2 linked regions of the Xenopus tropicalis genome follow. Each later gene encodes a partner of the first gene's protein in a complex. Links are inferred from orthologs where the notes say so. Each region holds a gene or a part of one and is shown in the gene's direction. Other genes may lie near its edges.

What was found. Proteins that work in one complex are often made in the same cells at the same time.
Region 2: gtf2h4 (region 1) and polr2c share a complex: the UniProt entries of both Homo sapiens proteins name them as parts of the TBP-based Pol II pre-initiation complex. The link is inferred for Xenopus tropicalis from reciprocal best matches to the Homo sapiens genes GTF2H4 and POLR2C.

The regions. Positions count from the first base shown.
Region 1 is NC_030678.2:143,601,456-143,605,415, reverse strand, and holds the start of gtf2h4 (general transcription factor IIH subunit 4), read left to right. Parts: upstream 1-1,160; 5' UTR 1,161-1,256; intron 1,257-3,010; 5' UTR 3,011-3,114; intron 3,115-3,809; 5' UTR 3,810-3,863; coding exon 3,864-3,960. UniProt on the Homo sapiens protein: Component of the general transcription and DNA repair factor IIH (TFIIH) core complex, which is involved in general and transcription-coupled nucleotide excision repair (NER) of damaged DNA and, when complexed to CAK, in RNA transcription by RNA polymerase II.
Region 2 is NC_030680.2:76,284,864-76,288,820, reverse strand, and holds the start of polr2c (DNA-directed RNA polymerase II subunit RPB3), read left to right. Parts: upstream 1-1,157; 5' UTR 1,158-1,182; coding exon 1,183-1,268; intron 1,269-2,801; coding exon 2,802-2,851; intron 2,852-3,057; coding exon 3,058-3,126; intron 3,127-3,698; coding exon 3,699-3,751; intron 3,752-3,957. UniProt on the Homo sapiens protein: Core component of RNA polymerase II (Pol II), a DNA-dependent RNA polymerase which synthesizes mRNA precursors and many functional non-coding RNAs using the four ribonucleoside triphosphates as substrates.

The DNA.
Region 1 (3,960 bases):
TAAGGCTTATTTTGGATCTCAATCCATACATGGTGACACCCCCTAAAGAGTGTTGGTACATAATAGTAAGGTGCAGGTTAGCAGGGCCAGAACAAAAAGGTAAGAAGGTAAGACACGCTTAGCAGTGGGCAGGGGGTATTATCACAGGAACAGGGGAAGTGCAAGCCAGGGGCTGTGTGAAACTAAAAAAAGTAGAATAGGGGGGCTTGCAACTCCAGTTAGGTAATAAGAAGTGGGGATGTAGGGTGCTGGCCTGACAGTATTGCCTAGGGCACCAGTACTACTTGGCCTGGCTATACAGCAGGGGTGGGCAAACTAATCCGGCCCGCCGAGCATTGGTGTGTCTCACTTTTCCTAAGAGACCGCAGTCCCCAATCTTGTCTTTCAGCAAACCCCGACACTGCAAGTCTCATCACGCAAGACTTGGCGTCAAGACTGCATGTAAGCGCAACGCAAAACCTAGGGGACTGACGAGTGGAGACGGTGCTGGCCCGACCCGACTGTCAAATTTTAAAAGTCAATGTGGCCCCTGAGCCTAAAAGTTTGCCCTCCCCTGCTCTACAGGTTAGTGTACAAAATCCGAGTGGCAAAAAATACCCTTTAAAAGCGCAAAATTACATTTTCTCCTAAATAAGCCCTTGTTTTGTCCCTAAATTGTGTCCATGGCCCTTTGGGCACCTTGGGTGTATAGGCTCTCATGGTGGTGGTATGATTATAGAAAAAATTCAGTCTTTTTTTTGTTGTCTGGCTCAAGTTGGAGCTCTTAGAAGACATAACTCATTACATGTGTGATTTACTATTGGGAGCAGCGATTCTGGCGGTTATATTATTACTTATTATTATTGCAGCCTGTGTCGCACACATGATTACTGAACCTCCTATTTTTTTGTAATATTGTATTTATAAGGGCTGTGACGGACAAAGAACGTAAAAGATTTTTTTAATTCTACCCTGTCAAAAAGTTGTAAACAGGGAAACTATGAGTGGATGCCTGCAGCCGGCCATACCCTGCACACAGTACCACACACTACTAATAGTATACGCTCACTGGAACAGTAGAACGTAGCCGAACTAGCCGAACGTGGCTACGTACCGCGTCACTGCGCTGATACACTGGCTGTGTGACGCCACTTCTCGCGAGATGAGACTTGCGCTTGAGCCTTAGTTGCCCGGCAGGAGCCGAGGACCTGGGACATGTAAGCGGTGTTGGGGACATTTAAGCAGCCACAGTGACAAGGAAATTGGCCCTGTAAGCGGTACGCAGTTGCACTGTTATTATCCTATAAGCTGCATGCTATGGAGGTGTAGAACGTAATGTCCACATTGCACATAGTTCTGATCTGGAGTAATGAGTAATTGGTAAAGTGCCTGTGGATATAAGTTTCGTATGTTGAAGTTACACATGCTGCCAAAATACAATATAGAGTGGCTATAGAGTTCATATGGAGTGTATGTCAGGTCTAGGGGACTAGCCACACTGTAGCCCTCAGGTCTAGGGGACTAGCCACACTACAGCCCTCAGGTCTAGGGGACTAGCCACACTACAGCCCTCAGGTCTAGGGGACTAGCCACACTACAGCCCTCTGGTCTAGGGGACTAGCCACACTGCAGCCCTCAGGTCTAGGGGACTAGCCACACTGCAGCCCTCAGGTCTAGGGGACTAGCCACACTGCAGCCCTCAGGTCTAAGGGACTAGCCACACTGCAGCCCTCAGGTCTAGGGGACTAGCCACACTGCAGCCCTCAGGTCTAGGGGACTAGCCACACTGCAGCCCTCAGGTCTAGGGGACTAGCCACACTACAGCCCTCAGGTCTAGGGGACTAGCCACACTACAGCCCTCAGGTCTAGGGGACTAGCCACACTACAGCCCTCTGGTCTAGGGGACTAGCCACACTGCAGCCCTCAGGTCTAGGGGACTAGCCACACTGCAGCCCTCAGGTCTAGGGGACTAGCCACACTGCAGCCCTCAGGTCTAAGGGACTAGCCACACTGCAGCCCTCAGGTCTAGGGGACTAGCCACACTGCAGCCCTCAGGTCTAGGGGACTAGCCACACTGCAGCCCTCCTTCTGTAGAACCACAACTGAGTCTTGACAGCTGGAGGAACACAGGCCAGACATAAGCTGGCCCCCATGCAAGAAAGTGTACATTGCTTGGCGAGCCCCAGATTGTGGACAGTGTCTGTAAAGCTGGCAATACCCATACTGATACTTTCCATACTTGCTGGCAAGTTGCTGATCCACAAAGCTTGTGGATCAGGCAGGTTTGAAAATGTAGTCTATTGCTGCTGCACTGTGTTGCCTGTGGTACCTAGGCCGATTTGGAAGTAAAGAGGAGCTGCAGTTGTTCTTTCCTTCCTGCTCTTCTGGTCATTGAGCCATCGTTTGACCACCACTGTTTTCTGCCTGTAGAACACCCAATCGGATGTCATGAACACACCTGTACTGTAGCACGATGAGTGATATTAAGGTTTTTTTTTGTATAACTGTAACCTTGTTATGGGGTAATGGTTGGCTGTTATAAAGTGTTATACCTCAAGTAGTAATGTGCGGGTTGACCTGCAACCCATGGGTTTACCCATAGGTCAGGCTGGTTAGGATTAAAATTTGGGTGACCTTTGCAGGTTTGGGTGTAGGTCAGAAGAAGTGCACTCTTTCTCTTCTCCCGAAGTTCAGGTTAAGGTTTTGCAGGTTAGGGTGGGAGATGGGTTGAGTTTTTCCTGACCTGCACATCTGTAACATGTGGTTTTTTTGGTTTATTTTTGTTTTTTCTGGTTTCTTGTCATCACATTATTTAGCTATTGGAAACAGAGTTTCCATTGAAGCGGAGACCATTGGCATATATGTCAGGAGAAAAAAGGGAACCCTTAATTGACTCAGGGCCAAATTAATTACCTCCCCAAAACAAAAAGTTTAAAGGATGTGATCAACTGAAGCTATTCATACACACCAATAGAAGCTCCTGTCCCTCTGCAAGCACCCTGTTAATCACTTAATGTAAATTGTGTTTTAGGTCTGCTAACATGAAATTCCTATGCCATCCTTAGAGAAACAAGAAGAATGTCTCTGATGAATGAGAATATCACCTAACCAATGAAACACTTGGCACCATTTTTGGTAAGAATTGTACTAGAAAGCAACTGTATTACAAATTGTTTGTAAGCATGTTATTAAGAATTCACATTATTGTGAAAAAAAATTGTAATACAAAAAGAATTTTCTGTGAGTGGCAATTATGCTGATCAGGGCATAATGTCAGAGTGGGCACACCCTGGGTTATTACCACTTTCTCCAGAGAGAGAGTGTACAGAAGATAGATAGTCCATAACAATTGGAGACAGGACCCTATTCTAAAGTCTCGTATTTCTACCAACCAATCTTCACCTTTAATAGGGGTAGAACTATAGAATCTTTGGTGCCTCCAAGTTTATTCACAAAAAATAGTATTATGGATCCCTTTAAAGAATTTGTGTGGAATCATAACTCTAAAAAATACAAGATTCCTTTTTATGCTAACTTCAATACTAGTGAGTGCTGCCAGAAAGTGAGACTACCAGAGACCAGTCAGAAAGTGGATTTCAGAACATATTAATTGTGCCTCTAGAAGGGATATGGGTTCATTTGGTTAAACAGCATTAAGGTAGGGTTTTGGTTTTTTTTAGGTGATATTTGTATGCTTTTAGAGTAATTTATTTATTTATTTTTCAACCTTAACGAAACTTTATAAGATCATTATTTACATTTACATTTTTAGATTAATTGTAGGTTAAACACTGTGCTTATATCCATTCTTTGTTCTGTTTTGCCTACAGATGTTGATTGCACGATACAGACTGTAGTGGCCCTAACAAAAAGACTTCTGTGGAATGAAGCTCCAGCGGGTACAGCTGAAGTGTAAGAATTTGCATGAGTTTCTTCAGGAACTCAGCCCAGGGGTGCTCGATCAATTGTACAACCATCCAG
Region 2 (3,957 bases), on another chromosome or scaffold:
CATTTCCCAGGGTGCCACAGCCATGTGACCTGTGCTCTGATAAACTTCATTTACACTTTACTGCTGAGCTACAAGTTGGAGTGATATCACCCCCCTCCCAGCAGAACAAAGGGAAGGTAGCAAGATAGCAGCTCCCATTAGATATCAGAATAGCACTCAATAGTAAAAAATCCAAGTCCGGTTTTGGACTCCTCCAGTTACATGGGAGTAGGAGAAACAACAGATTGCCGAAAACAGTTCTAATGTGTAGTGCTGGCTTTTTCTGAAGACTCAGACACAATGCACTGAGACTGCTGCCTACACACCAATATTACAACTAATATCCTGCTGGGCCCCGCTAGACCCTGCTGGCAGCCCACCTCTCTCCTTTATGGCCCCAACCCACCCAGCACTTTGCTGGGCCCTGGCAAATTCATGCTTCAGTGATAAGCCCTAGCCACCTGCTCACCTATCCTTCACCTTGTTGGGCCCCACCAGGCCTGGCGACTATGTCCCGAAACAAAACCATTTTCGTGTTGAATGGGAGTTTAAGTTAAAAATGGTCATGTGTTCCGCCATCTTTAATTTTTTATGCAGGCAAAACTTTCAGAGGTGGCGCAGGTAAGAGAATGAGGATCTAAGGAGCAATAGAAGAACAGATATAATTGTCTTTGACAGAACAGGGCAAGCAGCATGAAGGCATAAAGAAGAAAGGTTTATGACATGCCTGAGATAAATGTGCTGATACCTACTTGCTGCATTCATTTTACTGGCATGTGTAAAGTTAATACTTACATTATCAATTTCTGCAGGTCTAGAGTAAATGTGATCATAAATTATTTAACGCAGTGATCTTAAGTGTATGTCTGGGTAACTATAACTAAAGTGTGTGGCAAACGGCATAAAAATGTTGGCACCATGCTCAGTGCATTTTTAGACCCCAAAGTTTCAGATTTACCGCTAAAGCCCCATATTTTGTTGCAATATACTTGAGACATGATCTACAATGTTAGGTGATGGGTACCAGGTGCCCCAGTCCGACACCGCCTTTAACTAGTCATCCTGATCGTTAATGATCCATATAGAACTCAAACTCTATTGTTTGTAGCCACGAAAGGCAACCCCTTTCTGTACGCGCTTGATCTCTGTGGTCTCCGGTTCTCAACTTCCGGTTTCCGGTTTCTAAGTTGCTGTGTTGAGAGGATGCCGTACGCGAACCAGCCTACAGTGCGGATAACGGAGCTCACTGACGAGAATGTCAAGTTTATCGTGGAAAATACTGACTTGGCGTAAGAGACCTTTGACTGTTATGGCAGAATAATGGGTTTAATTGCTTTTTTCAGAACGATGTGTGGTGTGCATGTTGCATACTCGCTGCCCCAGACTGCCTGTCTCTCGAATCCCAATTCCTGAGACCCCCACATTTATAATGAGTGGTAAAGTGCGAGGGAATGGTTAGGTGGAAATAGAGTTTAGATTTTTATTTTTCCAACTTCGGCTAGGTATGATGTGGTACTTATTCACCATTGTGTCATGTATCTACTTTGTGTTATTCTGTTGTTTCTAATTATCCTAAAAGTGTAAATAATAGTGTGACTATATCACCATATGATGACGTATGTCATGCTGGGTACCACTGGTTTCCTGGACGCATCTCTTCTCTAAAGGGCAACTAAAGACATGATAGAGGTGTGACAAGTTGGCTGTTAGGCGTATGTAACCCACATATTGTACATCGCTGCAGAATATGTTGGCGCTTTATAAATAAATGTTAATGTAATGTAATCACTCCTTCTTTGGGTTCCACTATTTTCTGGTGCTTCTGTATGAAACTGTTTCATTTCCCTCAGGGTCACCTGTTTGCATGGATGCCCATTCTTCTTTTTAACCTTTTTTGATTGAGAATATTTATTTTTGGTAGTTCTTTTAACCCTTTTGGTTTCCCATGTGTTCAGGAGCAACTTCTAGTTCACCTTTTGTGTCTGTTAGTAGATTATATAGTGCCTGGCACCTAAAGGGTTCATTTAAAAAAAAAAAAACTGCATGTTTTCATACCAATATCGCTAACATACTTTGTAAAGGAGACATATTGGATAAATGGGAAAAACGCTAATTTTGTAGGCAATTATGAATAATATACGGTTCTGGTTTCTGTTTGTGCTAAAAATTAATCTTCTCTGTAAAAATGGCCCCTTTATTGGAGCTCCCTAGTGTGAAATGAAGAATGGGCGTGTCCTAACAGTACCTGCCAGAAGCACAGTAGGAGGGGGAGAGCCAATCACAGCCCTGCACTCAGACAAGCAAAGACAGGCTTCAGTTCCCTATCAGGTCAGCCTAGCTGCTGATTGGTTCCTATCCTACAGTGCAGTGTACGGAGGGCCGCCGGCTCCCCAGCTCATCCAGAGAATTCAGCCAGCAGGAAGTGGAACAGATGGGCGGGGCTAGTGGGGTTTTTGTGGAATTTCTCAATAAATCAGTCTGAAACACAACATTATTAAGCACAATCGTTCTATATCTAGAGGAGTATAATTCACTATAATTCATTCATAATTTTTATAGGATATGTCTCCTTTAAGAGGCCTCAAAGGCATAAAACTAAATTTAGAATTAGAAGAAATGGAACACTGCTTCCCATGTAAGGTAGTAATCATGCTGCACTTGATTTTTTATAGAACCATTTTTAGGAAATGTGTATTTGAGTGCTAAAAATATGCAGGTATTATTGCTATAAAATAATGAGTAAAAGGAAAAATTGTTACACTTGTTCCTCTGTATAAGCAGCCATTAATTATCTAATACTAATAAACCTTTTTCTATTTCAGAATTGCTAACTCGATCCGTAGGGTGTTCATAGCAGAAGTTCCTACTATAGGTATGTGCTCTTGTCCTGCATAAGAAAGGTTAAAGGGCCCTTGTTCAGCATGATTGCAATAAAGCTTACCTGAACAGGAAACACTCAGTGCAGTGTTTGTGAGCATTAATGTTTTATTACATTAGATCTCAAAACCCCTTGTAATGCATTCTGGTGCCCCTTACATTAAAATAACACATTTTTGTTGTTTATGTTTTATTTTACAGCTATAGATTGGGTGCAGATAGATGCAAATTCCTCTGTTCTTCACGATGAGTTCATAGCTCACAGAGTTGGTAAGTACTTAAAGATAAATTTACATTGAGTAGCAGGGCAATATTTCTAGTTAAGGCTACTTGCACTACTAGCAATACGTTGTCTAGCTTGTTTTGCCATTAGGGAGAAACTCCAGTTGCTATTGTACAGCGCTGCGGAATATGTTGGCGATAAGTGATACTGACAAGAAAAAACTACTTTTTAAATTATGAATCTACATAAAAAGTTACCAATAGGTCATGTTGATCAGTTTTTGTTGATAGGTTTGCTTTTATTAGCAATTGCTACTTAAACCTGACTGTTTTCCCAACCTGACTGTCCCTTCTCAGCCTGTCAGTTATAGCTTCTAATGCTAACGGACTCCTGCTGCACAAATATGGCCGCTCCCTCATAGAGGGACATGGGAGATCAGATAGGTAATGTAAAAGCATCTTGCAAATACTTTTATGGCAAAATTATAAAGCTCATGAAAAGACAGTGTTATGATAGATATAAAAAAGGTTTTTTTTTCTGGTGTCAGTATCTCTTTAATAATAATAATAGTGCAAGTGTGTTATTGTCTAATTCTGCATTTCTCTCTCTCTCTTTTTAGGATTGATCCCTTTGACCAGTGATGATATAGTAGATAAACTGCAGTACTCTAGGGTAAGTGCTTTGTATTTGAAACTAATTAAATCTATTTTAAATTAAAGAGGTTGTTCACCTTTCAAGGTATAGTGACACTTTCAGAGTTTTAACAGGAATGCGTTTCTAGACATCCATACGTTAATAACCTGTGTTGGTCTCTGGCAGGGCTTGGAGTTCAACAGCTTTGTGAGTGATGGAGTGCTTGGGGGTGGGACAAGTTTTTG